Stegostoma tigrinum: one gene and its partner. The protein of the gene in region 1 purifies or fractionates together with the protein of each later gene. This does not show direct contact. Links are inferred from orthologs where the notes say so. Each region holds a gene or a part of one and is shown on either strand. Other genes may lie near its edges.

The links.
Region 2: the proteins of fbxl4 (region 1) and BCL2/adenovirus E1B 19 kDa protein-interacting protein 3-like purify together in Homo sapiens (affinity purification with western blotting; 4 studies listed by BioGRID, with this or other methods). This does not show direct contact. The link is inferred for Stegostoma tigrinum from reciprocal best matches to the Homo sapiens genes FBXL4 and BNIP3L.

What each region holds. Positions count from the first base shown.
Region 1 is NC_081357.1:49,947,969-49,963,704, forward strand, and holds the start of fbxl4 (F-box/LRR-repeat protein 4), read left to right. Parts: upstream 1-9,156; 5' UTR 9,157-9,304; intron 9,305-10,711; exon of another isoform or gene 10,712-10,749; intron 10,750-10,843; 5' UTR 10,844-10,917; intron 10,918-15,736. UniProt on the Homo sapiens protein: Substrate-recognition component of the mitochondria-localized SCF-FBXL4 ubiquitin E3 ligase complex that plays a role in the restriction of mitophagy by controlling the degradation of BNIP3 and NIX mitophagy receptors.
Region 2 is NC_081393.1:9,562,462-9,578,643, reverse strand, and holds the start of BCL2/adenovirus E1B 19 kDa protein-interacting protein 3-like, read left to right. Parts: upstream 1-9,232; 5' UTR 9,233-9,441; coding exon 9,442-9,487; intron 9,488-16,182.

The DNA of each region.
Region 1 (15,736 bases):
GGTAGGGGTGGATGGGTGGTCAAGTGGCAGATTAAAGATAATGCAGAGAAATGCGAGGAGCTTCATTTTTGCTGGAACATCAGCAGAGGCAACATAAAGTGAAGGTTGTAATTGGGCAAAATGTACTTCTTCTGAGCTGTAATCATTCTATGATTCTAAGAATAAAGGTACTCATCTTCTCACTGAATGTTCTTGGACACCCATGCCAAAGTTGTAACAGTTTATGCCAGAGCTGTTACCAGTTATGCTAAGGCATTTATATTTTTCCTGCCTTTTTCTTCTTAGAAACAACAATGTATATGATAAAATAAATTCAATATTTATGAACTAAGACATATGCAGTTGTGGGTTTAAGATTGATTTATAAACAAAACATTTTGGCCCCAATATTCTGAGACCTATAATCTATAGATGCTTGAAACCTAGTTATAAACTGTGAATGTTCATGTTGTGTAACAATTTGTTTTCTCTCCATTAAGCATGCTGCTACTTTCCCTTCACTATGCTTTTCCAATGAGCATCTTTTGAGACATTTCATTGAATAACTTCTAAACCTCTAATACATTCACTTCAAACTAGATTATCGAATATTTTCCAATTATACTTGTCTTTAACAAATCTTAATGCTATCCTTAATTAATCCACACATTTTGAAAATGATATATGTTGTAATTTGAACCCTCTTCACATCTCATCATGGTGTGAGATCCATCTGATAGATTTACTACCATCACGCCCCCTTTTTTTTGAAGGGATCAAAACGGCTTGCTTTGGTCCGAGATAATGGGAACTGCAGATGCTGGAGAATCCGAGATAACAAAGTGTGGAGCTGGATGAACACAACAGGCCAAGCAGCATCTTAGGAGCACAAAAGCTGACGTTTCTGATGAAGGGTCTAGGCCCGAAATGTCAGCTTTTGTGTCCTTAAGAAGCTGCTTGGCCCGCTGTGTTCATCCAGCTCCACACTTTGTTATCTCGGCCTGCTTTGGTCCAGTGTGGTCGCAGAAAACCATCTGGTAGTCTAACAAGGAGACACTGTGTCATATCTTAAACAAGCTGTTCCTCAGACATTAAGTGATACTTCATGACTTTTTTCAGCATTAATCCTTTTAGACACTGTGCAACACTGACTGATCTTATCTCAAATAATGGGTTTGAAGAGGTTCATTTTCTTTGGATACTTGTATTTTATTTTATTGTATTTTACCAGCCCTCGAGGCATGGATCTGTAAATTGACAAAAGGAGGAGAGCACATTGAGTGCCTGTCATTACCCCATGATATTTTATCAGTAAAGGAGAAAATGGAGGTACAGCCTTGACAATAGTTAGGTATTTGTTGGAATTCCAACACCAACTCAGATCTACAAACAAACCTAAAGAAATATCAAAATTTTGTGTCCTAGTTTCTTTCAGAAGTAGTGGTCACTAATTCATTTTCGCTGAAGTTCTTTTCTTATATATTGCAATTCTTTCACTAGAGTACCAGTTAATTTAACTCTTAGTCATCTTCTTTTCCTTCAAGTTCAAATACAATTGAACATGGGCTATTAGAATAGGAAATATACCAGTTACAACTTTTACAGGCTTATTTTTATCAGAACAATTATCAAGATTAATTCTTTGAGATATTTACCCTTGTTATAGTTGCCCCATTGGACTTAATACACAGTACAAGAATCAGCATCAAGAACCAACATCTGTTAACATTGGCATGAACCGTGTGTTTACCATTATACCAATGTCAAAATGTAACTCATAGTTAAATTAGCTTGCTAATGATTGACGGAACCTTACCAGATGTTATTTTTGATTCTGTCCCAAAACAAGTCATTGATACACAAAAGAAAGCCATTAATGCAGAATGAATTCTCTCATTACAACAATTAATGTGTCACTTACACCATGTGCCAACTGATGTGCTGTTTGCAACATTAATATCTTCAACTTATAACAGGATCATGCTTTCATTCTTCTGTATCATTCTCAGGTGCTTTGCTAGCATGGTTCAAGTTGCCACCAATAAGAAACTTTTTTGGTTCTCGCTATTTTTATTACACACAATCATTGTTTATTCCTATTTGACAAGTTTCATGTTTAATTATTTTCTAATTTAAAATAGCACTCAAGGAATGCTGGCAATTTTAAAAACAGGAAAGACTGGTTTCACAAAGAAGACAAGATAACAAAGTGTGAAGCTGAATGAACACAGCAGGCCAAGCAGCATCTCAGGAGCACAAAAGCTGACGTTTCGGGCCTAGACCCTTCATCAGAGAAGGGGATGGAGAGAGGATTCTGGAATAAATAGAGAGAGAGGGGGAGGCGGACCGAAGATGGAGAGAAAAGAAGATAGGTGGAGAGGAGAGTATAGGTAGGGAGGGGATAGATCAGTCCAGGGAAGACGGACAGGTCAAGGAGGCGGGATGAGGTTAGTAGGTAGGAAATGGAGGTGCGGCTTGAGGCGGGAGGAAGGGATAGGTGAGAGGAAGAACAGGTTAGCGAGGCGGAGTCGGACTGGGCTGGTTTTGGGATGCGGTGGGGGAAGGGGAGATTTTGAAGCTTGTGAAGTTCACATTGATACCATTGGGCTGCAGGGTTCCCAAGCGGAATATGAGTTGCTGTTCCTGCAACCTTCGGGTGGGATCATTGTGGCACTGCAGGAGGCCCATGATGGACATGTCGTCTGAGGAATGGGAGGGGGAGTTAAAATGGTTCGCGACTGGGAGGCGCAGTTGTTTATTGTGAACCAAGCGGAGGTGTTCTGCAAAGCGGTCCCCAAGCCTCTGCTTGGTTTCCCCAATGTAGAGGAAGTCTGTTTCTTTGTAACTGTCCTTAACTCCACTTTCCAGCAAGCTCAATCACCCAATTTCCAGAAACAGTTTTAGATTTCCTACACTGTAACAGTGACATTTTAAATGCACTTTATTATTTGTGAAACACTGTGACACATCATGGGCTTGAATTCCCATGGGAACAAAAAAGTTCTTTGACCTCATTAAAATATCATGGAGCCCCAACTCTAAAAGTTCTGCTCCTGAACCCAACACCCACCATTTTCAAAGAGCATTAGCAAGACTGTCCACCTGATTGGCTACTAGGCAGGAAATGGGAGAATAAAATGCTACTGAAACCTTGCTGTTGATAGGCTAGGCCTCCATAGTTCTGGGCTTTGTGAGTTTCAGACAGAAAACTTTATCAATAAGGCTGAAAAGCATGTCCCCTGCCCTCCTGTTTTCTCATTATCTCAAATGGTTAGCACTCACAGCAGGGGACAAAGAAAACACTCAGGACCTTGTTTGAAGCATGGCAGCATTTTCACTAAAGAGTGGGAGAAGTTGGCTACCAATCATTAAAAATGGCAATAATTTGTCCATCAATCTGCAATGACCCCAAATATGTTAATGTTGAGGCAGAGCAGTGGCAAAGTAGAAAATACAAGGAAGCAAATCATGCACTTCATAGCCCACTAACTCATGGGAAATCCTGCCATTTAAACACAAAGATCAACTAGTCAACAGATTGGCCTATTCAGTCACATCAAAACACAGGAGAAAATTAAGACCCTGGTGGTTGTTGTCTACAAACTGAAGGCCAATCATTGAGCCTGTAACCAATACCCAAGCCCTTTCTGCCTTAAATTAAAATCACAAAATCTGGAATGTGATATCCCCTCAGTCAATGCAAAGCCTGAGGAAAGTATACCAATATTCTAACATGACAGAAGAAGACACATGTAGTGGTGGAGAAGTATTGTAGTGTCACTGTGTATACAACTATTATAATTGACAGTCTGAGAAACAAACCAAATTGCTTTGCACACCCTCTGTGTTAATGACTTTTAAATTCAAGAGACCTTTATCAAAGTAGCTATGGGCTAAATTTTTAATTTAAAATGAGCAAATTTAATTTTTCATTAAAACATTATCTATTATTTAATCCAGACATATGCTTGCAAGTTCTTATTGCTGATTGTGATCTGTGAATATTCACTGTGGTAATAAAGAACCACTACAAAATATTTATGAGTGAGAATGCTTGTTTAGTAATAATGACAATTACTTTTCATTTTAGTCTGTTCTTTAATTAAATATGCAATGGATTTCTAAAAAAAATAGTGCTTGTCAATCAAATTTGTCTTAAGTATCTGACTAGATGAAACTTACTCTTTTATAAACAAATCCCCGTTGGAATGCCTTTTCCAATCCTTAGAATATCAGTGAGGGGCGCACAAATCATGCTTGCCAACATGTCAATAACAGCCAGTTATGATTTTTGTCTTGTTTACTATAATGACGTTAGTAATAAATGCATTTGACCATTCGCCAGTTGCATTTGCATAGATGAATGATTTGTCCAGCCATTTTTTTCCTCAGTGAGATGGGCCTGTATGTCAACCCAAAGAGAATTCATTCTCCCTGGAATCCACAACAGGCAAGAGCTCATTCAAAACCACCCTTTGCCAGGAATGCTTAAAATAATTACTTCGGAATTACGAATCTGTCTCTGAAAACATTTTATTTGATGGTCCAACACATCAAGATTCTGAATTGCTGACATTCAAAAATGAGAATGCATTATTGTTAGGGAACAACTGTCGTACTGTAAAAGGCTTGCATTGTTTCAGTTTAGATGGCCTTCATTCAGCTGTCATCCATAGCCATCATGCTGCCAGTGATATCTTAAGAAATTAGAGGGTAAATGCCAGGCTGGACTGTGCTAGTGTGCAATTCTTTGAATTCTTTGCAACTTCAAATAAATGAACAAGTTCTTCTTTTATACTTGCTAAAAATAACAAAGCAGCTCATTGATGAATGCACCACTTGGTTCTTACAAACTTTGAATTTAGCTGCTAAATTATTCACTTGTACTGCCATTTTGCTAATCCAGGGTATGTTAAAATATTATACATTTCTTACAGCTAAAAATTAGATCTAGTTTAATCAATTCAAAATGAAAATCTGCACAATGTTTTGTATAATAAGTAGTACCGTTTTACAAAATAAAGAAAATATCTACCGTACACTGTCTGTAGTTGTAGAGTCCCTCTGCTACATTAACGAATAATTGTTATATTATCAATCATTCAAGACAATAAAGGCTGATGACAAATGCTTTTCCCACTGGGCAAGTGTACAACATTCAATAAACAGACTTTTGGAGAAGTACATTGACATTGGTTAAAATAAAATACAATAACCAGCCTTCAATGTCCAATAAATCAAGAATTTAATGGTAGGAAACAATATAAATGATTTGATAAATCGAATGGCTAACCAGCAATTGCAACCATAACAAATTGTCACAACAGTCCTCATAACCTTTATTTTATTTTCTTCAAGTGCCCATGGTTTCCATATCCACTACCATGTTGCATTGTGAATTTTCAGACACATAGGAGTTATTGCAACAAAAACTTCTTGCTCAGGTTCTCTGGTTATCCATCCTTCCGCTATGGAGAACAATTTCTCTCTACCTTCTCTGTCTCTCAGATCAAATCTTATGGTTTTTTTTGGTCATGTGCAAGTTGCGTTGAGTTTTTGGAGCAATTCTTTCTGTGAAGCCCAATGGAATTTTTCACTGTACCTTATAAAACTTACCTCATTAATGACTGACTCACCTCACATCTGCTTCTATCCCCATCTTGCCATGTGGCATTCTTAGAACAACTCACTGGCTTTCTGACGAAAAACTGCCATCCTTCACACCTGCACCACCACTTGTAGCATAATAACACTGCAGTCACAAAGCCATGTTGCCTATGGCACATAGCCAGCACGCTTGATAATCCCTTGCACATACAACCCTATTCACCCACTCTCACACAGTTTACCTGTCCTTAGCCAAGTTCCACTAAACACCCTCTGAATTCACAATTACACTTTCTCTGAAGCCCACAGTAGACCTGTACCTTGTCATGTATAGACAAACATTTGAATCAGGCCAAAGATGTTATTGACAGCCACCAAAAAGGAATACATTGCGATCCAACGGTTGGCATTTTGGCCTTGACAGTCCATGATGGTCTTCAGCACCCAGCTTGCATCTAATGGAACCCAGTGTCAATCAGTTTCCTGTAGCACTAATGCAGCAGAGCTCTTTCACCACAAGGAAAGTTTCCTACAGTTCAATGCTCTTATCTTTCTTCTCGGACAATTGCACCCATTTGACCGGCTCCTCAGCATCTATCACATTACCTGCTCCAGCTGTGCAGAGCTCAGCAGGATTGTATGGCACATTCTGTGTTGGCTTTACTGGAGGGAGCCCCAGTTTGCTACAAACTGTGAAAATTTGCTGTCAGCAGTTCTTTGCACCATCTTCATGAAGGTGCTGTGATGGCTGAGTGACCAACATGTTAAAATAGAGAAGTGACTATGCTCTGACACCATTCTCATCTCATAGTCACATCAACCATTTCATGTTTCACTGCATTCATCAGAGCCCATCGTCATAGTTACATGACAGATGACACAGCGGTGTGCCTCTTGTCCCAGAGCACCCTTGGAAGTTTCAAAATGAAGGAGTGCTTTTGGTTACCCTTTTCTTTCTTTTAAGGCATTTTTCTGCATCACTGAATTCCACTGTAAGTTTAGCCAGCTCCAATGACATGTTGTAATATGCCTTTGACTAAAATTTGACACATTAACAGGTTTACTCTATATGCATTGCATATTTTCAGTTTCTTATTTGTTTTATTATATTATGGGATGTGAGTGTTGCTGGATGGGTCATCATTTTAGCTGATCCTAATTGCCCTTGAGAAGGTGGAAGAGCTATTTTCTTAAATTGCTATACGCAGACCTGGAATGCCACTACGGAGGGCGTTCCAGGACTTTGATCCAATGTAGTAACAGTGATATATTTCCAAGTCAGGATGGTGAGTAGCTTGGTGATTGGTAATGGAGGGGAACTTGCAAGTGGTGATGTTCCCACGTATCTGCTGCCCTTGTTTGTCTCGGAGTGATTGAGAGTTTGATAAGTGCTGCCTAAGGATTTTGGCAAATTTCTGCAGTGTGTACACACTGCTGCTATTGAGTGTCAGTGGTGGAATTATGGAATGTTTGTGGAAGTGAGGACTTTGCGGGTCCAACAGGACTGTTTTTGCTGTTGTCAATTGTGGTGCCTAGGTTGATGCCCGGTGGTTTGTCCATTTCATTTCTCTTTTGAGGCTTTGTCGTGATTGTTACAACTGAGCACTTGCTAGGTCACTTCAGAGGGCATTTGAGGATTAACCACATTGCACGAGTCTGGAGACACATGTCGACCAGACCAGGTACTGATTGAAGATTTCCTTCCCTGAAAGCACATCAGTGAATTGGATTGGCTTTTCTGACAAATCAGCAGTTGATTTCATGCTCATCATTCGACTCTTACTTCCAGATATTTATTGAATTCAAACTCCACCATCTGCTGTGGTGGGACTCAAACCTGGGTTCCCGGAACATAACCTTAGTTTCTGGATTAATAGTCTGGCAACAATACCACTCAGCCAATGCTTGCCCAGCAAAGAAATACTTGGTACTTTAATATAGCTGGAGCTTGCAATCAGTATTTGCTAGCTGTACCGACTTTTGGTGTTGTCTTTGTCATTTTCTAGTTGCATTTCACATCTAGAAAATGGCAAATGATGGCATGGAACTTAGCTAGTCATTGACACTGTTGACAACAGCGTCTGCCTGGTCACTAGCTACCTCTCTAGAGCCTCAATGTACCAGCTCAGTTTAAGGATTGATCATTAAGGTGGCTATCTGGAGCTCTTGTGCCACAGTAGTAGCATCCCCATCTCGAGATCAGGATGGGCAGGTTCAAATCCCACCTGCTCCAGAAGTGTGTGATGACATATCTGAATAGGTTGATTAGGAAAATGTCTAAAGGTGGCTAGCTAGGCCACTTGTGCTATCTTAAATCTTTTAAACAACTGCAGCAGCTTTAAATTTAGTCAGCAATATCTTATGCAAAACTTTATCTCCTGAGAGGCCACATAGAATGCATACAAAGTCATTCCTCCATCTACTACTTTAATTAATTTCTCAAAAGATTCAATTAGGTTTGCTCAGCACAACATACCCTTTACAAATATACCTTGACATAATCAACTCAAAGTTCTGTCAATTAAACATTCCAATATCTTTATCATAAGGACTGTCTTATTAACAGGGTAATAATTAACATTTCTTCCAAATCTGATTTCCCTGTTGCAAGTTGTATCCCACCTTTAGTTCCCTTCTTCCCTATCCTTGTTTATCTCTGTTGTTGGTCTTGCAAATTGCATCTGTCAAAACATTTCATACGCAAAGACTCTTAACTACAGGTAAGTCAATCTACTTCAGTTAAATGAAATGTCAAATATCCCATGATAGAATGCGTCTTATGATACATTTTATATTGTATAAAAGTATAGTAAAATGTGCTAAGCATTAAAGTTCACAATAGTACATTGAACCACTGGAGGCAGATGACTAACACCATGGTCCAAAAAATTTCTTTGAGGAAGAAAGTGAGTTGTGAGGCTGAGATGTTTAGGGAGGCCATTCCAGAGTGCTTTTAGCTCAGACATTTAAAGGTATAGTGATTAAAATTATAGATGTGCAAGAGGCAAATGCAGATATTCCAATGCATTTTGGGCTGAAGGAGCTTGCAGTGATGTTGAAAAGTGAGGCTTGGGGATTTGAAAATATGGAGTTGGCAACCCTTAGTGGAACCATAAACCTTTCTGTCAATGTATTTCGACTGTTAATCTATGTTTGTTCATTTAAGGCTTTAATAAGAACTTTGGGATTTTGACGTACTTTTTCACATTTTAAGATAACCCATTAGATAGTAGATTCCCTGGCCTGCAATCAGGTAGTTCGAAAAATTGTAACTGTTTGTGTACTTTTTTTTAGTAAAGTTATCATTTGGGAAAAAAAGAAACAAAATACGCTATTTTTACTATTAATTACAAACAGCAATCAACGTCCTTGTTACATTTCTATTGCCGTAGCAGCTTAACAATCCCTATCAAAAAGTGTGCTCAAAAACTGTTATTTGCTAAATGACTTTCAGATAATGTGCATATTTATGAAAAGGGCCTCTGGCAGACTGGAATGGTTTCACTTTGGTCACAAACAGGACTACAACTCCCGGCAATCTTCGCCGTTGGTTTGCTCGGGGTTCCCGGCTGTAGGTGACATGTTTACATTTACGGAGGGAGCAGAAAGACAGACTTAAAACAAAACAACCCGTCTTGTGATTGAATAAAACATGCTTAATAAACAAATCATCTGTTCTACACGCAGTTACACAGCGCCTGTAAATGCTGAGCGACAGGTACATTTAATGTACATTTATTCATTTTTTTTGTGCGTGGGGGGTGGAAGGGTGATAATAAGCGTTGTGTTTGTAGCGCACCCCAAAGGCCCCCAAAGCCTGGCCGCTTTATTGCGCAGGGTGTATGCGAGCGGAAGTTCCAGTGTTGGTGGAGCTGACAAGACAGAGTACTGTCTGTGAGTGGAGTTTGCAACTCCGCCTTCCAGTTCCAGAATGTTGGTCACAATGGCAGAGTATCAAAGAGCGAGGCCGACATTCCACAAACAGAACGTACCCATTGTCTCCACGTTCCAAAGCGACACTTCCGCATCCAATGTCCACTAAGTTGACCCACCATCCGCTGCAATCCATACACAAAATAAAGAAAAACACCTCCACCTTTTGTAAATGTATCTTTTTTTTGTTCCAAAGATTTCCCTGATGTGCGACAACTAAACAAATTAAAGAAATCGCCAGTTTTAATGTCTTGTACAAAAGGTTCCAGTTTACACTGTCGCGTTTGCATTGGTGTGATGGATTTTGGCTTTTTCATCAATTCAAACGTGGCAGAAAATGACCGACCATTATACGATAAAGGTCCAAGTTTCATTTCAACAAATGATCGTGACAAGCGTACAATATTTCCACTTACGATGCAATTCAGGTGGTTTATATGGCGTTTTATTCTTATTTTTTTTCCCGTTTCCCATTTATTAAGCGTTTATGCATTGTAGGTACGAAGTGGGAATGCTGTGAATCTATAAATTAAACTATATATCATAAAATAAGACATGGAGTGGGCCAGTCATGGCTTAATAGCGCTCCCAATTCTTGAATCACAAACCTGTAAGTTCAGGTTCCACATCATGCTTAAAACACGATAAAGTCTCCGCATTCCAATACAACTTGTTGCTGACTGATGTTGTTACACGATTGGAGGTAGCGTCTTTCAGTTCAGGCATAAGACAAATCTCATCTTCCAGCTCCGGTGGATGCACAGCATCCTAAGGTGCTATTTTGAATGGAAGGGGGCTTATCCAAGGTATCCTTATCCTGAAAGAAATCCTCGAAAATAGATTCAGAGATAATGGGAACTGCAGATGCTGGAGAATTCCAAGATAATAAAATGTGAGGCTGGATGAACACAGCAAGCCAAGCATTTTGTGCTCCTGAGATGCTGCTTGGCTTGCTGTGTTCATCCAGTCTCACATTTTATTATCTCGAAAATAGATTATTTAGTTATTACTACCTTACTCTTCTGGGAGTGTTGAGTGTGTATAATGATTGCTGTATTTCTTGCATTTAACAGTAAGTACACTTCAACAAACTACTTCATTGGCTGTGAAGTGCTGTGGGACCTCTTACGGTCATTAACAAGTGCTACATAAAGTTGGTTTCATTTAACTTTCACATTCAGGATGGTTTGAAGGAACAGTTTCAAGCTTTAGAGTACTTGCTGTTTGCAGGTTTGTTTGAAGACTCTGGCATATTTGTATTACCTGTTTTTCAGTTTTTATAATTTAACTTTGTTGATTTTTTGTTTCTTCCTTATTTGCATAGACCAGCCTTCCAATAACTTAATGATAGTCTCCCACAAGAAGAGGTGTTTGAGATGTTTCCTTCTCGAATAATTGGTATGATCCAATACTGTATCCATTTACTGAGCATTCACGTGTCCTGCTTTGTTTTAGTGAGTCTTTCCTTACAACAACATCTTGTATTAATTTACTGACCTTAAGGTAAAATATCCCAGTGTGCTTCACCGAAATATAATAAATGAAGTGTGATACTACACCAGAAAATTAGGGTAGATAACCAAAAGCTTGATCAGAAAATTAGGCTTTAAATAGCTTACTAAAGGAGATATTTGGGGAGGTAGAGAGATTTGGGGTGGGGGTGAATTCCAAAGTGCCAGATAGAACAAAGAACAAAGAAAATTACAGCACAGGAACAGGCCCTTCGGCCCTCCAAGCCTGCGCCGATCAAGATCCTCTGTCTAACCTGTCATCTATTTTCTAACGGTCTGTGTCCATTTGCTCCCTGCCCATCCATGTACCTGTGCAAATATATCTTAAAAGACGCTAACGTGTCTGCGTCTACCACCTCCGCTGGCAACACGTTCCAGGCGCCCACCACCCTCTGTGTAAAGAACTTTCCATGCATATCTCCCGTAAACTTTCCTCCTCTCACTTTGAACTCATGACCCCTAGTAATTGAGTCCCCCACTCTGGGAAAAAGCTTTTTGCTATCCACCCTGTCTATACCCCTCATGATTTTGTAGACCTCAATTAGGTCCCCCCTCAATTTCCGTCTTTCTAATGAAAATAATCCTAATCTATTCAACCTCTCTTCATAGCTACCACTTGCCATACCAGGCAACATCCTGGTGAACCTCCTCTGCACCCTCTCCAAAGCATCCACATCCTTTTTGTAATGTGGCAACCAGAACTGTACACAGTAGTTGAAGGAACTACCTTCACTGTAAACTATATAAATCTGGTGACACTTTAGAGGTAAAATTAGATGAGTGCAGATAGTTTTGAGGGTTGTAGGGCTACAGGAGATGACAGAAATAGGGAAGGGTAAGACCATAGAGACATTTCTGAAGAAGGGTCCTGACCTGAAACATCAGCTTTCCTGCCCCTCTGATGCTGCCTGGCCTGCTGTCCACACTGTGTTATCTCTGGCTCCAGCATTGGCAGTTCTTACTGGCTCTAAGAATTTTAAAATCGATGTTGCTTGACTGGGAATCTGGACTAGTCAATGGACAGAGAGGTTTTGGGTGAGCAGGACTGGCTGCAAATTGTGACACAAGCTGCAGAATTTTGAATGACCTCACGTCTGTGGAAGGTATACTATAGGAATCCAGCTAGAAGAGCATTGGAATTGTTGAGATGGAAGTAATGAGGCATGAATCAGGGTTTTAGCAGCAGCAGGTGAGCTAACATGGGGTGATGTGACAAAAATAGAGCTGGGCTATTTTAATAAAGGCACAGACATAAGGTCAAAAGACCATTTTGCTTAAATGTGACAGCAAGATTCTAGACAGGTTGGCTAAAGCTCAGACTCTCCCACTGGCAGAGGGATGCAGTTGTTGACTCGAGGGATGTCAGATAATTTAAAACCAGAAGTTGAGGATGTGATGCTGAGGTACGATGTGCATGTGAAAACTAACATTCTACCTTTGGATGATGTTGCCCAGGGTTAGCAAGTAGATTAGAAGTAGGAGCGGAGCGTGGATAAATCCTTGGGAGTATCAGAGGTAATGCTACAGGAATAGAAGAAACTGTTATTGTAAATTATTCCCTGGCTACATATGAGTCGATAAATTTGGAACTGGGGAGAGCAGTCCTGCCCAACTGGAAGACATTGGTGAGAACTTAAAAGAGTATTGTTTGATTCGTTGAATTATGCATTTAATCTCTTTATCCTATTCTTTCCCATACTCTGTATGTTCATTTACTTTAAATATTTGTCCAGTTTTTCTTTAAAAGATATGAAGGTCTCTGGCTCAAACACTCTCTGTGACAAAACATTTCATGCATGAGCAATTCAAGCCGTTTCTCCTATGCTGTTTCCATACTTTGTCATAATGTGACCTCTCATCACTGACATTAAACCCTGTCTTTTTTTACTCACTGTATCAAAATCAGCTGTATTAATTTCACCATAACCTTGTCTGCTTCTCAAGAAATAGTCCCAGTATCTTGAGGGTCACTTTGTAACTATAGTTTCCCATTGCTGGAATTATCTTGGTGAATTTATAATGAATATTCTGTGTGGCTTTAATGTGTTTTCTATTAAAGATCACCCAAACTGTTCACTATTCTTAAAGTGACCTCAGGAATGTTTTGTACATTTTTGTACTCTTATTCTATGACTAATTTATAAAGCTCAAAAACTGCTGGTGGTTTTAATGAGCTTTTCCACATCCCACTCATACTTTCAGGGAAGTATTTATTTGAAGCTGAATTCTCTCTAGTGTTATTTAAACTATAGTATAGGAAAGCAAAAGTTGTAGTCAGTCCGCGCAAGGTGATAGTTTAACCTGGTTATTCAGATGATGCCTGTAAAACATTATGCTTTGTTCTTATGATTTATATCAGAAACTACCGATGATTAAATTAAAGCTTTAACATACGCTTGAAATTGCCATTATTTTATGTTTGCAAGAAATATTCTGTCCTCTCAACTCCAGAGATGTACAGAAGTGCAAATTTTCAATAGTATGGTAATTTTGAAATCTAACTTGAACTGACATTGTGGATCAGTAGTATCATTACAACACAGAGGAAGGCTATGTGGCCTGTTGTGAGTCAAACAGCTCTCTGCAAAGCAGTTCTGCCACCCTTTCCCTCTAGCTCTGCCTCTTCAGGTGCTTAAACAATTCCATTTTGAAAACACTGATTGAGAAAGCTGCCACCATGTTGTCAGGTAATGCATTCCAAAACCTAACAACTCACCACATAAAATATCTTTCCTTGTGTCACTATTGGCAATTTTGTCATTCATCTGAAATTCGTGCCCTCTGTTTATTAAGCTGTCAACCAATGGGAAGTTTCTCTCTGTTGATCCTGTCTAGACCATGAGTGATTTTACCAAATTTCCTTTCAATTGTCCCCTCCTTTAGGAGAGCCGCTCTAACTTTCCAACTTATTTGTGTAACAAAAGTTCTTTGTTCTTGGAATCATTATTGGAAATCATTTCTGCACCTTGTCTAAACCCTTCACATCTTTCCCAAAACCAAGAATTAGACACAATGCTACAGTTGAGGTAAAATTCAAATGTTATAACGATTCATGGTAATGTCCTTGGACTTTGTACATGTTGCATTAATTTTTAAAAAAGATTATCTTGGGATCTGGGCAACACCAGCCAAGCATAGTTGTTTATCCCCAAATGAGTAGAGTATCAAGTGTCAATCACAAAGTGCTGGGAAAGTCATTTGTAAGACAGATTGGGTACAGGTATCAGTCTTCCTTCTGTGAAGGACATTACTGATCCAAAAATGATTACTTGTTATTTTCCTAGTGTTAGATTAAAAATTACCAGATTTACTGTAATTAAATTCACAGCTTGTTATTGTGTGTTTTGAACTCACGAACAGTTGCTGAGCTAGTATCATTACTGCAAGGCTATAGGATATCTATGATAAGTATTGGTAATTGTATTTGAAAATGCTACACTGAAAATACGCTGTTGCTATCTGATTTAAAAAAATACTTCGGCAAATGGGTAACATTAGTCGGAATACTATTGGGGTTCTATTGTTCAATCACTTAGGTAGGTGCTAAGGCAGTAAAGTCATTGCTGAAATATAGCTCTTCAGTAACTGTGAAGGGCGTCTTTGGGTATAGTATTGTTTTAAATTTATTTGTGTAAAATTAAAGTGTTTAGTTAAAGGTTGTCCTTTGCTTTGTTTTTTTTGGAACATTGTAGGATTATAAAGCCTAAGAAACATACTCTTCTTTTGATTTATTTTTAACATTTTGTTTAGGATTAAGAGGTGATGTTGAGGCCAGAGTGTGCTGTGTCTCCCCAATGTTATGTTTCACTTGGAAGGATAAAAAAAAATGCAGTTTCTGACATGTTGTACAAGGGGGAATTTTAAGGACATATATTAATTCAAGAGATAATTCCTGAAGAGTATAGGAATTCTGATTGTATCACTTTCTGCAGATCAGTGGGAATTTATACGGCTCAAAGCAATATTCCTCCATTTTAAAAGCTGCCATCTCTAGCAATGATGAAATGCGATCCATGGTAAATGCGACAGTTTGATTTGTTTTTATTTGTTGTGATATGGGTGTTGCTTGTTAAGCCATCATTTATTCACCATTGCTAATTGGGCTTGAGATGATGGTGGTGATCCGCTGTTGAATGGAGTGCAAGGTATAATCTGTTAGGAAGGGAGTTCCGGAAATCTGATTGCCATTCCTTCATCATTGCACAATATAGTTCCAGGTGGAGGATGATTTGTAGCTTGGAGTGGGGTTAGGTGGTATTCCTACAAATCCACTGCCCTTGATCTTCGAAAAGGTAAAGATTGCGGGTTTGGAAGATGCTTTTGAAGGAGCCCCAGTGAAGGCTGTCAAAAATTTTATACCCTATTATCAGCTTGGCTCTAATATTTTCTAATGTTGGAATTCACTTGTACCTACTTTGGAATTTTTTCCATGTATTTGTGAATAAAATAATTCAAGTGACTATGCCTCTCAGTAAAGCTCTACCTTCTAGTTTGGAAAATCATTGGCAGTACGTCTGTTTTTTATCAATGTAAATGAAATAGGAAACAATATCAGTTACATTGACACTTTCAATTTGGTAACAAATGGCTTGAGTTTACTTTTCTCTCTGTGTAATCAGAGAAACTTACATCCTGTAAAATTGTGCAAAAGGTAACAAATTGTTCAGTGTTTAATTGGCCAGCCCCACTTGAACACTTAATGAGAT
Region 2 (16,182 bases), on another chromosome or scaffold:
ACTTCAGACAAGTTTATTTCCTGGCAAATTATGCATATTGGGGCATCTTGAAGTTGTGTAAGATAATTGATAAAGCTAAGCGCTGCTAAATGGTTGCCTGTGAAAAATGAAAGAAGGAAAATCTTGCTGACATCACCAACTGTTCGTAAATTGCCAGGTTATACTAGGTGTGGCTTGATAGAACTGAAATTGGCAGTTGGTTTGAGGTTTTATTTGAGATGATTTTTGATCAAGTTTATTGGTGGTATAAGGAAGTTTTTTTGCAAGTCACTGTTAAAGTGGACTCTGGAATTTCACTTCAAATAAAACTTGAACAATTGTAAAATTTAGCCCAGGAGCTGCAGTGTTCAGAGCATTTGGGAAGATGAGGGCAATACAAAACATTTAACCGCAATGTTCTTGGGCTTGAAACACTGTAGTGACCCAGGAAAAAAAACAGCATGGTATCTAAAGAATGTAACCAGTGAGCTGGTATCAGACAAGCTTTGCATGTGGACCCAATCTCCTGCTCTGAGCTGTTTTAACAGGGATAGGTAGATCTGCTAAGTATTTCTCTGACTCATCGTTAGTTTTGTTTTTGATGTTCTGCATTTTTTGTTTTAGAAGTAAACTATTTTTCTTGTCCAGTTTCTTGATTGATGAGATGCTGTTTCCTGTTGTGAACTAGATTTGATTCTTGGTTTGTGTTGAAATGCTGACCTAATGTAATGTTGAAAAATAATGGCCTATGAGAGAGTGTGATTGTTCAGGTGAGAACGTAGATATGCCAGGGAAAATTCTGCTGCCAATCACAATATAATAACTAACTAAATGCTTTTGGTGAGCATGACAAATACATGGGCTGGTTCATTTTTAATCTTTTTGAGATTTACATTTCTGACCGTGGTTTGCCACCCTTGCCACAAAATCACTGAATTTGGTTAAGCAATGAAAGATTTCTAGACTAAGTATAAAGTATCTAGAGTAGAGTAGTAAAATAAAGAGCTCACTGAATTCGCATCTGCATTAGCGGCTGAGACATCTTAAGTGTCGTTTAATTTGATGGAGTGAAGAGAATGGCTGTGTCAAAAAAGATGGCTATTGTGATTTATTTCAGTGAAGTGCAGAGTAAATGGTTGAACTAATAGTTGAAGTTGCATTTTCGCCATTTGTCTGTATTTGCTGCTGTCAGCAAAGTGCACATCTACTTAGTTGGCTACCAGATCCTGCACAATTTGAGTCAAAAATGATGCCCAGGTTATGTTCTCATGTTGCCCTCAGTGCAGCACATCCTCTGCTTTGGGCCACCAATGCATGTTCAGATTCCTGGTTACCCCAATTATGCACGATATGAAAGATTACTCATTTGAGTTGTGGGTCAAATTAAAAATTCTTCACCTTCCGCATGAATGGTGGATGAAAAGAAAGCAGTGCAGGATGAGCTGAGGGCAGTTGGACACTGTCCTAACCTGTATTTCTCTTGTTCAGTGTCTCAAGTGCAGAAGAACAGCCCTGATTCCTTGACACAGCATTGCGTTAAAGGACCAGAGCAGCCTGAGGGAAGTGTGTTACTATGAATTGTGTTCATGGGAAATGGGACGGCGTCTGAAGAATTGAGAAAAGTCAGTTCAACTGTACTCTTCTACAGCTATTTAAATTCTGACTGTTTGCCAGCTAGATGTTTCACCAGCAAAACCAGGTTGGCAGGTAAGAGTTAAATTTTATTATGATACATCAATTGATTTTAACTTTATGCCAGAACAAGTACATGGAAGTTTAAGTCAGGTACTTGATAAAATGAATTTTAAGTTTTCACCTGTTGAACTCTTCGTATAATGTCAAATCAAGCTTGGATAAAGTTTTTGCATTTATTTCATGAAGTGTACCAACATTGGAATTGGTTGACTGTGTTGATATCGCAATGATATATATTGTCATGCTCACAACCTGAAACTGGGTCAGGGTTTAAGATCTGCAGGTGAAGAAACAATAGTGCAGGTTGAAAGAATGAATACAAAGCTCCAGGGAAGCTGTGGAGAGGTTGAATCTTCAGTGGTGATGTTGAATTTATTTACAAGGTTAGCTGAATACTACTTACATTCTGTTTAATGAAAAAAAAATTCATTAATTCTTGCCACTCAAACACTATCTGAAAGTACAATAAGGACACTTGCATCAGGAGAGGGTGGAAGAAATGAAACAGATGAAAATGCAACAGTTTTGAATTATTCCTTAAAGAGCAACAAGTGTGCTGATCTTTCAGGTCATTTACCCTGTCTGCAGTTGATGTGGCAGTGAGTCCCCAAACACCTCCATCTGACCCAGAAAATTAGTGTTTTCAAGTACAGCATTAGGCTGGGAAATTATACTTCTTTTTCCCTACGTACGAATATTGAAAATGAATTAAATAATCTCTTCAGTGTAATACAGCTGAGCTCCAAATGTGTCAAATTGTAATCTGGACACTAATCTGGTACAAACTTTTGTCTCAAAAATGCTCCAGATTGAAAATACAGGCGCCCCAAAAGCGCAGAATCAGAAGAATACAGTCAAAACTCTAAGTCTGCATGACCATTCTGTGAGAAAGGTGGCCATTACCTCCCCATAGAAACAGTCTGAACACTATTTAAGACACATGAATGGATGGTGACAGAAACTAAGCAACATTTGGGTCTCCCTCATTCGGGTAGTGTGATAGAAATCAAGCCTGTCTATTTCTGAAGTCATCACAGAAGTTCAAAATTATACCAAGTTTGCACACTTTGTAAAGTTGGTGTATTTTTAGACCTGGATTGATACAAAGCATTGGACAAGCTTCTGGATTGAACAAAAGTTAGGATTCGTTACAAGAAATTAGACTCTAGTGTCAGGTAAACAGTTATAAACTGTAGACAAGGCACAAATAAAAAATTCATGTTGCCTTATGAACTCCCCTTTGTGCTGTTGAAACAGGTGAGGTAAATAGCTTATGGACGGAGGGGAACATGGTAAAACATTTAAGTTATCTTGGTCCTCGGGTAATTTTGTTGATGTGATCCCAAATGCAAGAGCTTGGCATCAGTTGGCCTTCTCTCACTTAGGTCCACCGGTTGGGAAGAGACACAAAATGGCTGGAATATTTTGGGCAAGTCTGTGAATATCTGGTTAAAAGTTACTGCATGCGCTGATTGTTGCAGGAAATATGAAGTGGTTTTCTTCCGGTTTATGATAAGCTTTGACTTTGGAATGCAGAACTGAGTACCCCTTGCGTTTTGATGTGTTCACAGCTCCAAGCTGTTTAGTCACCTGAGAACCAATCAGACAGTTGTTGGCAAGAAAAAAAGGTGTCTGTCATTGATTTGTGGACTACTGTCTACTTCACATTCAACTTCTTGTTGCCAGCAACAGCTGCTGTGGCCCACCCCTTGGCTTCAGATTGTCTGTAACTCTGCAATTACTGTTTGTTGAAACAGTTATTCCCATGATGTCCGACGTGGGAGTCGGATTACTTTTCAAAACTGCAGACACCTTGTCAAATACTTGATGGTACGATGTTTCTCATTTCAGTCTCCACTTGTTAAAATACAAGTAAAAGACAGGGTCCTCAGATGCATATGTTACTAACCAACACTGTACGGTCCATCAGATCCAAAAACTTGCAAATAATGTTCCTGATGACTTTGGTTTCTTTTCATCTTTCAATATGAAACAAAATTGCGGAAGAATTGGGAAACCTTTATGTTAATCCTGTCTCTGACCTTGGATCGATGATTCTCCTCGTGGGAAGTTGCAATGCACAGGATCTGAGTTTCTTAACTTTCCTTGAGACATTGTCATTGAACGCAAGATCTTATCAGAGGTGTGAACAATGACTTTGACTTTCAATCTTATTTATCAATTTTTTAACAAACAGTGTCGGATGCTGTAATCACATGGAACTACCCTGATGATAGTGTACAATTGGGGTCTCAGAAGAAATCATGAACCAAGCCATACAACCTAAATGGTGAAATTGGTAACATGGTTAAAGAAGAACAGGTCTCTTGAATGGAACAGAAGATAGAAGTTGCATGAACTTTTTCATACGAATACTTATGTTGTTGACTTCAAATTAGTTGACCCTGAGGTGCAGCCGAATGCTGAACCGATGATAGATTGAATTCGACAGAAAAATGTATCGATGTGTTAGAAAAGGGACCTGTTGAGCATGTTTCAGAGATAGCAGGAACTGCATATGCTGGAGAATCTGAAGAAGGGAAGAGACCCAGAACTTCAGCCTTCTTGCTCCTCTGCTGCTTGGCTGACTGTGTTCATCCAGCTCTACACCTTGTTGTCTCTGAGCTTGTTGTCCCATTTGGAATGCGTGCTTCTTCTGGCTCTCGAGAGAAAACAGATTATTTTAACGTTTGGAACATTTCTGAACGAGGTAGGAAGGTATTTGATATGCTGATCTTCAACAGTAATAGCTTTTAAAAAGCTGGAAATTGTAAGGAATTTCATGCATGAGGGCCACAATTTACATCATTGTTAATATTAGATCTGTGATTGAGGGAAACAAGGCATCTCAGGTGCAGGACAAGTAAGCTCCTGAACAAATTTGCCTTTGCCTATTAGAATGGATCTGATGTATGGTTCACTGGAGTCATGAACTGATTACTCTAAGCTGGAATAATATTTATAAATCAGAAATTCCATTTCTACCACATCACAAATGATAGATATTTTTAATACAAAGCACTGTAGTCATTGTGTAGTTTCACATGGGCTGATTGATGCATCCTGTGGGGTTTGGGATTGATGTTTGTGGAAAATGCATGCGTTGGAGTGTATCACCCTGTAATTGACTCAAGCATATATATGCCTGTACATAGTTGACATCAGTAACAAAGAATATTGCAAAAAACAGTGCATGGAATTTGTTAGAATAGAAGGGGGCAACAGACAGTAAATTAGAAAACACTTTGGGTGCTGGCAGTCGATGTCACAGTTGCTCTTGTCAACCAAGTTGTGTAAAATAATCACAGCTCTTCACTAGACCTTCGAGGTTCACTGCAGCATGACAGATGGCAAGGAGGTATGGTTCTTGTTGCCATTTTTATCAACAGGCTTGGGTGAGGTACTGGAAGAATATTGAGCCAATATTTAAGGAAGGATGCAAGGAAATGCCAGGGAGCTACAGACTAGTGAGTCAGTGGTGGTTAAGTGGTGAGAGGGGATTCTGAGTGACCGGATGTACATGCATTTGGAAAGGCAAGGACTGATGACAGACAGCATGGTTTTGTGTGTGGGGAATTGTCTCTTAAACTTGATTGAGTTTTTTCGAAGAGATGACCGAGAAGATACACAAAGTGGTAGACAGGTATGCAAAAAGATCCAAAAACTAGAGGGTGGTTTTAGAGGATTATTGTTCAGACAAGAGGCTTGTGACAAGTGATATGCCAAAGGATTGGTGCTGAGTCCACTGGTCAATTTTTTGAACAATTTGAATGAGAATACAGGAGTTGTAGTTAGTAACTTCACAGATGACACAAAATTTGCTGGTGTAGTGGACAATAAAGAAGGTTATCTAAGATTACAAAGAGATCTTGATCGAATGGGCCGAGGAGTGGCAGATAGAATTTACTTCATGTGTGAGGTGCTGTATTTGGTAAGACAAACTAGAGCAGGACTTAAACAGCAAGCGGCAGGGCCCTGAGGAGTGTTGTTGAACAGAGATCCAGGTTCGTTGAGAGTGGCATTCGGCCAGCTTACCTTAGCCGGTCAGAGCGTGGGACTCTTGTTATGGCTGTAAAAGACATTGGTAAAGCCACATTTGGAGTACTGTGTACAATTCGAATCACCCTGATATCGGAATGATGCTATTAAACTGGAAAGGGTACAAAAAAAATGTGCAAAGATGTTACTGATACTGGAAGGTTGAGTTATGAGCAGATGTTGGATGTGCTGGGACTTGTTTCCTTGGAATGTAGGTGGCTGAGGGCTGATTTGGTAGAGGTTGATAAAATCATCAGGGAGCTTAAGATTAAAAGAAACCAAGGTCTTGTCCAAGGGTAGTAGAGCCCACAACTAATGGGCATAATTTTCATGTGAGAGGAGAAGGGTTTAAAATGGACATGAAAGGTTAACTTGTTCTCTCAGAGGATGGTGTGCATGTAGAAGGAACTGCCAGAGGAAGTGGAAGAGCTGAGTACAATTGCAGTGTTTATTTTATACAGGTACATGGATAGTCATAACAGCATGTAAACAGGCCCTTTGGTCCAACCAATCCATGCTAACCATAATCCCAAACTAAACTCATCCCATCTGCCTGTGCTTGGCCCAAATCACTTTCAACAGTTCTTATCTGTGGACTTATCTAAAAGTCTTTTAAACATTCTAACTGTACCAGAATCCATTGCTTCCTCATGCAGTTCATTCCAGACACAAACCATTTATGTAAAACAAAGCCCCTCATGTTTTTTAAAAATCTTCCTCCTCTCACCTTAAAAAAAAATGCCCCTCTCGTCTTGAAATTCCCCATCCTAGGGAGAACACAACTGTCATGAACCTTATCTATACCCCTGCGATTTTATTAACCTTGAAAAGTTCACCTGTCAACCATCTCTGCTCAAATAAGTAAAGTCACAGCCGATCTAGCCTCTCCTGACGACTCAAACCCTCCATCCCTGGAAACATTTGGTGAATCAGTTTTTAAAAAATTCTTCCTGTAACAGTGTGGTCAGAGCTGGGACACAGCACTCCAGAAGAAGCCTCACCAACATCATGTATAACCTCAACGTAACATCCCAACTCCTATACTCAAAGCTCTCAGCCATGCAGGTAAACATGCTAAACACCTTAACCATCGTATCAATGTGTTGCAAACTTCAAACAGTTAGATACCGGATGCTTTAGGTGTTTTCGTTCTACAACACTACTTAAGGCCATACTTTTAAATGTGCAATTGTCTGTTTCATAAAAATGGAATAGCACTCGTTTATCCAAATAAAACTCGATCTGCCACTCTTCAGCCCACTGATCCAAATGATCAAGATCTCTTCATAATCTTAGGTAATATTGTTCACTGTCCACTATACCACCACTTTTGGTCTCATTTGCAAACTTCGTAACCGGGTCTTCTAAATTCTCATCAAAACTGTTTATGTAAATGACAAACAGTGGATCCAGTACTGATCCCTGTGCGAGCCTGCTGGTCGCAGGCCTCCAGAACAAAAAAAACTCTACTCCACCATCCTCTATCTCCTCGCATAAAGCCAATTGTCTCTCTAATTGGTAATCGCTCCCTGAATCCCATGTGATCAAACTTTACAAATTCAGTCTAACATGCAAAACCTTGCCACAGGCTTGATGAAAGTCTGGGTAAACAAGGTCTACTGAACTGACCTCAGGTATTTTAGGTATTTCTTCAAAAAACCGAATCAAGTTTGTAAGAGGCTATTTCCCTTGCACAAAGCCATACTGACTACCTCTGCTCATTACTTGCCTCTCCAAATGCATATTAATCCTGTCTGTCAAAATTACTTGCCAGAAATTACCCACCATACAGGTCTATAGTTCCCCTGCTTCTCCTTACATCCCTTCTTAAACAAATGTGCAGCATTAGCCACACCCCACTTTGGACCTCACCCATATTTTTAAATGATACAAATATTTTTGTAAGGGGCCCCACACTTTCCTCCCTACTTGGCACAATGTCCTGGAGTACACTAGATCAGGTGACAGGGGATTTATCCATCTTTAAATTTTTTGAAGATCTCCAACATTTCCTATTCTGTAATGTGAACTAATTTCATAACATCAAAATTGATTTCCCTGACTTCTCTAGCTTCCTTTCTCCTCAGAAAAACTGTTGCAAAATATTCATTTAATATTGGTCCCATTTCGGTTTAATACCAAGATGACCTCTTGGATCTCGCAGGGGCCCTACACTCTGTCTAAGTGCTCTCGAGCACTGTTTGGGTTATCCTTAACCTTATTTGTTACCTTGTTCTTTTTTTTTTGCCTTGCCATCCTCATCTCTACCTCAAGAATGCCCCTACACTCTTTAGATTGTTTCAAGATTCATTTGAGACCAGTTATCTAGATCTAATGTGATGCCTATTGATTATTGACAGGAACCTCAACACCTTTATTGAACCTCATCCCACCTCCTTGACCTGTCCGTCTTCCCTGGACTGACCTATCCCCTCCCTACCTCCCCACCTATACTCTCCTCTCCACCTATCTTCTTTTCTCTCCATCTTCGGTCCGCCTCCCCCTCTCTCCCTATTTATTCCAGAACCCTCACCCCATCCCCCTCTCTGATGAAGGGTCTAGGCCCGAAATGTCAGCTTTTGTGCTCCTGAGATGCTGCTGGGCCTGCTGTGTTCATCCAGCCTCACATTTTATTACCTTTATTGATCTATTGTTCTCTACTCCTACTCTCCTTACCTTTCACTCTAACATGAACATCATGATTCTGAGCTTCTGTTACCTCCCACTATCAGATGTACTTTTACATGTCAATCGTCTATTCCAGTGAAGTTTTTAAAGTTCTTGTTTCATACCCATTAAAAACTGTAGTTTTATGGAAGGTTTGCCCTTTTTCGAAAGAAAGGTCTTGACCTGAAATGTCAACTTTACTATTCCTGATAGTTCTTGGCCTGCTGTGTTCCTCTAGCTCCACACTGTGTTATCTCCTGTCCTTTCACATATCGTTTTTTAAAGCTGAGAATAATGATCAGCACATCCAAAATTTTCCCTTACTGTCACTGCAGTCACTTAATCTGCCTTATTACCTCAGTGAACGTCAAGTTTTGCATCTCCTGTAGTAGGAAGATTTAAGTATTGTTAAAATGTGTTGAATAAAATTTTCTTAAACTGATGCATCACCATCCAACTCTTTAATACAATGATAGTCACAGTGAGTGTGGTAAATTCAAGTCCCTGTTCTTACCTATAACTACTGGTCTTTACATATTTGATCCTCAATTTCCCAGTGTGGGCTGGGGGGAGGCAGGGGTGTAGTGCAGTCCTCTTAAGGTGCTCGTTCTTTCTTAACTTTCTAATTTCAACCCCTATGTTTTGACTGGACGATTTTTAGCACTGTCTTTTCTCGTTCCTATTACATCTGAAATTGAGCTGGCTCTCCCGTCCTTTCCTCAGGGTATTTTCTGTCCACAAGACCATGAAACCTAAGAGTTGTGACGTCCCAATCGCATGTTCGGATGCACCTCCCACAGCAGGTGGGACTTGAACTCGGGCTGTGCTACTTCCGGGAATGGGGCGGATTGCGGTGATGTCACCGTCTCCGTGGCATGTATCCTCCGCGGGGATAGGACTTGTGTCGGGGCATGCGCAATCCGGGTTGGTGGGAGCGGCGGAGGGCTCGCGCAGGGACCGTTGGAAAATTCAAACGGTCGGAGACGGCCAACAGCGCCCGCGACACTCGCTCGGAGTGAGGGCTGGGCGGCTGCAGCAAGAAACTCCTCAAATACCGCAAAAATGGCAGCCGCACCACAGGCCAACAGCGAGGACGCTTGTCTTAACGGTAAGTTTGAAGAACCACCCCCCCTTCACCCCAGCACCAATATTTTGTTTTAGATCGTTTGTAGCACCGCTGCGTTTTTCCCTCAAAACAAATGAAGGCATAAACGCCTGTCGTTGGTGGTGTTGCCCAAATGCGAGGATGTGGTTGAATTTGATTGATTGGTCGGAGCTCGGCCGGATTTTCCGGAGAAGAAAACCCCGAAACAAACATAACAAGCGGAAATGTCACCAATGTGAGTGACAGCGGCCTTAGCCAATGGGAGATGGTGCCGTGGGCTGTTACCAGTGGGAGGTGTCAATGTGAGGAGGAGGTGAAGCTGGAGCCGCATCAGTGAGCGACTGAAAATATGTGGTAACTGTACTTCAATGACACAGTTAGTCTTGGTGATCGTGTCTACATCCCGGGACAGGGAGTTCTGCAAAGGCCATCCCAAGGTCTGCTTTCTCATAACGGGCTCGGGTGACTGGTTAGATTGGGTAGCCCATTGTCTGTTACAGGGAAACGCATGCTCAAGAGCTCCTTGAGCAAATGAGTTAGTGAATCTCCATAGACGTTGTCAAGGTTATCGCAATCTGCCTGTTTTCATTCCGTGAGCCAGATCACAGTGGCTGCACATTCGCCTTGGTGTCAGAGGATTCTGGGTTCCAACTTCCCTGCGATAATTAAAACCTGAGCACTTGGTTCAGCTTGCTGCTTGCACTGAAGCACTGAGGGGATGCTGCACTGTTTGTTTTATTTGAAAGACAATACCTCAATGTATGGACCAAAAAGAGTTTGTGCCCTGATTGGAACAGAGCAGGGGATTTCTTGGTTAAATTTTATGCCGCCTTCTGTTGCCATAGGAAGTTGACGATTTGGGCCAATTTGGTAAATTGTCTTTCTGATGAAGGGTCTAGGCCCGAAACGTCAGCTTTTGTGCTCCTGAGATGCTGCTGGGCCTGCTCATCCAGCCTCACATTTTATTATCTTGGTCAATTGTCTGTTGTACTCCCAATGTTGATCGATTGAAACATTTTGTTTTTTAGGAAAGTACCTTGTGGGAAGTGAATTGCTTTCACATACAATGATGTATTTTTCATACCCACTTGGTCAGCTTCCCACAGAGCTGTGGAATGTGCCTGTACCAGCAGGAGATACTTGTGGATTATGGTATTCAAGTTCACTATTAATCTGAAATGTGATGGTTGTTGATTTAGAATTAAATACTAGTACTGTGATTCTTTTTAAACTGAAGTAATTTTTAATGAAACAAATGAGTTTTAATTTGTGCCAGTGACCTGTTTCTGTATCATTGTATTAGCATGAATCAATGAAAACATTGATTCTGAGAAGATAACTTCCAAATTTGAGTGACTGGAAGATACTGTGCCCCACAGGAAACATTAGTTCAATGGTGAGCTGCTCTTCAAAGCTGAAACTGTGATTTTAACAAATATTTTGTGAAGAAAACTTGTACACTGAAATGAAAATGTATTATTACATTGGATGAACTGGGCAACTGGCTTGCTTTTCAGCTGAAGCCCTTGTTTAGCTTTTTGTTTTAGCTACTGTAGCTTGTTGTGCACTTAGACCAAAGGAATTACTTTAATAAAATATACAGCCTCTTTTGCAGCAGAAAATGCAACAGAATTGATTTGTACGGACAAGATTTTGATGTTTCTGAAACCTTCAAAGACATAGAGGCCAGTCAATCCAGGAAATAGAAAATCAGGTCACCAACTGGGATGTGAGCTTTGTTCAAACCAGTCATCAAATAAATAAATGTTATTGATCAGGTATCTGTTTTTCAGAGGCAAGAAGCTGAGAAAAAGGAAGTAGCTGTCATGAATGTAAAGTATGCATGTTAATTTTTTTTCCTTTATTCATTCATGGGATGGGGATGTCGCTGGCCACGCAGTATTTATTGCCCATCCCTAATTGCCCAATTGCAGTTTGGAGTCAACCACATTGTTGTGGGTTTGGAGTGACATGTAGGCCAGATGGATTTAAGGATGGCAGTTTGTTTCACATTAGTGAACCAGATGAGTTTTCCAACAAGTGACGATGATTCATGGTCATCATTACACTCTTAATTCCAGATATTTGTTGGATTCAAATCCCATCATCTGCCACAGCAGGATTCAAACCCAGGTCCCCAGAACATGATCTGAGTTTTTGGATGAACAGTTCAACAGTAATACCACTAGACCATCGCCTCCCCACTCTCCACCATTGTTAGATTCTGATCCTGTACCTTTTTCAGGCCAGGTTGCCTTATCGGTAATGTCTGACTAGCTTATAGAGCAAGTCATAGTCTACTTTGTGTCATTGAAGATACTGTTTTGCATTGGTAAGTGGAGTTATGAAAGCGTAACTGTTGAATAGTAAGATATCTGAAAATAAAAATGAACCGAGTAACTACTTTCCTCATTTTCAAATCATGTATTTCTGGTGTACAGTAACTAATGTACTTGGTTCCTAATTTCTGTACTAATTATCTGTATTTTTTTGGCTGAGATAATGCATTCTGGAAAATTGGAAAGCTGAAATATAATGTGCAAATGAGCACTCAATTGGCTAGTTTTATTGTTTGTTTGGAATCTGTGGTCTATGGCAGCCTCTTAATGTGCAACTTGTTATTCGGGAGTTATTTGTATCTCCTGAATGGCTTGTAAAATGAGCATTAACAGCATAGATAAATTTTTGAGTCAGATTTTCATTTTGACGTTAGTTGTTTCATCCAGTTCCATTATACACTTACTTGTCCAAGGAAAGTCAAGTGTATTGCGTCCCATATACCAACCAGTAATGCAGATGGCAGAGCTGTTGAAAGAAAAAATAACTGGAGATGATGGAACATTGCACTGCTGTAGGGTGGAACGGCAGTGACACAATTTCGAAGGATGCACCAAAAGGAATGTGAAAGGAAAATTTTGCAGAAGGTTTTCGGAGGTTTATGTGGATATGTTGTATTCAGGGGGTGGGTTTGCCCACATTTAATGAAGACTGGCTACGGTAGTGCGTCAGGTTCACACGTGCTCATGTTTGTTTGTTTGTACTGCCTGCCAAAATCTAACAGTATGAAATCACTATTTACAATGGAGAAGGACATGGAAAATATAGAATGTGGGGAAATAGGAGTGACACCTTTGAAAATACTCATGTTATAGAGGTGGTGGTGCTGGACACCTTAAAACACAAAGGTGAATAAATCCCTGGAACCTGACCAGATATATCCTAGAGCAAGTGGGAAGTAAGGAAAGAGATTGCTGGGCCCCTTGCTGAGATATTTGTATCATTAGGAACGACCGGTGAGGTTGGCTCATGTTGTGCCACTGTTTAAGAAAGGTGGTAAGGAAAAGCCAGGGAACTAGAGACTGGTGAGCCTGACATCGGTGGTGGTTGTCAAGTTATTCGAGGGAATCCTGAGGGACAGGATTTAGATGTATTCGGAAAGGCATGGACTGATTAAGGAGAGTCAACATGGCTTTGTTGGAAATCATGTTTCACAATCTTGGAGTTGCTTTGAAGAAGTATTTCCCGCAACACATCCCTCACACCCCGCCCCCGCCTCACCCGCCCTAAGAGGATCCCCCTCGTTCTCACACACCACCCTACCAACCTCCGGATACAACGCATCATCCTCCGACACTTCCGCCATTTACAATCCGACCCCACCACCCAAGACATTTTTCCATCCCCACCCCTGTCTGCTTTCTGGAGAGACCACTCTCTCCGTGACTCCCTTGTTCGCTCCACACTGCCCTCCAACCCCACCACACCCGGCACCTTCCCCTGCAACTGCAGGAAATGCTACACTTGCCCCCACACCTCCTCCCTCACCCCCATCCCAGGCCCCAAGATGACATTCCACATTAAGCAGAGGTTCACCTGCACATCTGCCAATGTGGTATATTGCATCCACTGTACCCGGTGTGGTTTCCTCTACATTGGGGAAACCAAGCGGAGGCTTGGAGACCGCTTTGCAGAACACCTCCGCTCAGTTCGCAACAAACAACTGCACCTCCCAGTCGCAAACCATTTCCACTCCCCCTCCCATTCTCTAGATGACATGTCCATCATGGGCCTCCTGCACTGCCACAATGATGCCACCCGAAGGTTGCAGGAACAGCAACTCATATTCCGCCTGGGAACCCTGCAGCCTAATGGTATAAATGTGGACTTCACCAGTTTCAAAATCTCCCCTTCCCCTACTGCATCCCTAAACCAGCCTAGTTAATCCCCTCCCCCCACTGCACCACACAACCAGCCCAGCTCTTCTCCCCCCCCCCCCCACCCACTGCATCCCAAAACCAGTCCAACCTGTCTCTGCCTCCCTAACCGGTTCTTCCCCTCACCCATCCCTTCCTCCCACCCCAAGCCGCACCCCCATCTACCTACTAACCTCATCCCACCTCCTTGACCTGTCCGTCTTCCCTGGACTGACCTATCCCCTCCCTACCTCCCCACCTATACTCTCTCCACCTATCTTCTTTACTCTCCATCTTTGGTCCGCCTCCCCCTCTCTCCCTATTTATTCCAGTTCCCTCTCCCCATCCCCCTCTCTGATGAAGGGTCGAGGCCCGAAACGTCAGCTTTTGTGCTCCTGAGATGCTGGTTGGCCTGCTGTGTTCGTCCAGCCTCACATTTTATTATCTTGGAATTCTCCAGCATCTGCAGTTCCCATTATCTCTGATACTATTTTAACGAAGAGGATTGATGCCTGCAGAGTGGTGGGTGTGGTCTATATGGACTTCAGTAGGGAGTTCGACAAGGTTCCTCATGGTATACTGGGTAGCAAGGTTAGATCACAGAATTGAGGGAGAGCTTGCTATTTTGATACAAAGCTGTCTCAAAAGGTCGAAGACAGAGGGTTGCTATTTACACTGGAGGCCTGTGATGAGTGGTGTGCCACAAAGATTGCTGCTGAGTCCACAGCTTTTTATCCTGTCTGAAAACAATTTGGATGTGAACATAGGAGGCAGGGTTACTAAGTTTGTAGATGACACCAACATTGGAGGTGTGGTGGGCAACAAAGAATGTGACATGAGGGTACAAGAGCATCATCTTCAGATTGGCCAATGGGCTGAGGAGAGGCAGGTCTGGAGTTAAATTTACATAAATGTGAGGTACTACATTTGGACAGAACTTAGACACTCAATGGTTTGGTTTTGGGGAGTGTTGTTGAACGGAGACTTTGGAGTGCAGGTTCATAGTACCTCGAAAGAGGTGTCACATGTGTATAGGATGGCGAAGAATGTCCGGTTTGCTTATCTTTATCGGTCAGTGCATTAAGCATTGGAGTTGGGAGGTTATGTTGCCTGTACAGGACATTAGTCAGGTCACTACTGCAATACTGCATTCAATTCTTGTCTCCCTTCTATAAGAAAGAGGTTGTGAAAATGGAAAGAGTTCAGAAAAGATGTACAAGGATGTTGCCAGGGTTTGAGCATTTGAACTATAGTGAGACATTGAATAGAGTTGTGACCTTACAAAGGTTTATAAAATCATAAGGAACATGGATGGGGTAGATAGACAAGGTCTTTTCCCCCATTGTGGGGAATGCAAAACTAGAAGGCATAGGTTTAAGGTGAGAGGAGAAATATTTAAAAGGGCCGTAAGGTGCAGTTTTTTCTTGCAGGAGGTGGTGCGTGTCTGGAATGAGCTGCCAGAGGATGTGATGGAGATGATACAATTACAACATTTAGCCATCCTGATGCCTTCTATGTGAATAATTAGGGTTTAGAGGGAATTTGGCCCAAATGCTGGCAAATGGGGCTAATTTATTTAGGGTATGTGGTCAGCACGGACAAGTTGGATCAAAGGGTCTTTATCTGTGCTGATTTAAAAAAAGGTATACTGCAAGTCATGTTTGTTGTCTTTTAAATTTTGAGCATTTAAAAAAAAAACTGGTTGGTTGCATTTGATGCCAAAGAATATTTTCCATTTTCTGCCCATCAGATGAAATGATAGTTTAACAGTTTTTGAAGAAGCATATTGTTCTTCTTTGCACTTGCCACATTTTTAAATTTTACTTTGACTTCGCCAGCTCAATTTTAAGTAGTGTTTTGCTTTTGCCCTATCGCTCCTTGTTAAAATGTTATGCAACATTTAAATATGACCTCTTTTAACTTGTGCATTAATGGTATTGTGGAGCAGAGCTAGTCTACTTCAGGGGTGAATTTTGGCCTTCTTTGCTTTGCTTTGCAGTGCTTCTCAAAACAAAATTAAACATTTAACTGTACAGATGGTGCCCTCTTGTGGTGCAGTGGTATTTCCCTACCCCAGCGCATGCGGCTGAGATTCAAATCTCGTCTGCTCCTGATGACTGTAATAGCTTCTTTCAACAGGTTCATTCGAAAAACGGGTTAAATTGGAACATGGAAGTCCAAAGTCAAAAATAGGTTGATGTTTCCAACAGGAACTGTTATTCTCCTGTGACCCTTCTCTGATGAGAAATAGTCCTGCTATATATTCCTAGTCTCTTTGGATCAAGTAAAAGGTTTATTATCAGGTAGCTTTTTTCATTTTGGACTCTTGTATTGTCATGTAGTCCTGTTTACGAAATTCAGTTTGGTAAGGATATCAGACTTCGATAAAACAGTAGAGGATGGATTTGTGTGAAAGCAGGTTTGGATTAAAAGGTTTGCATAACAAATAGGAGACAGTATTTAGGACAGTGTGTGGCCACTAAAATGAACTTTATTCCCAACACA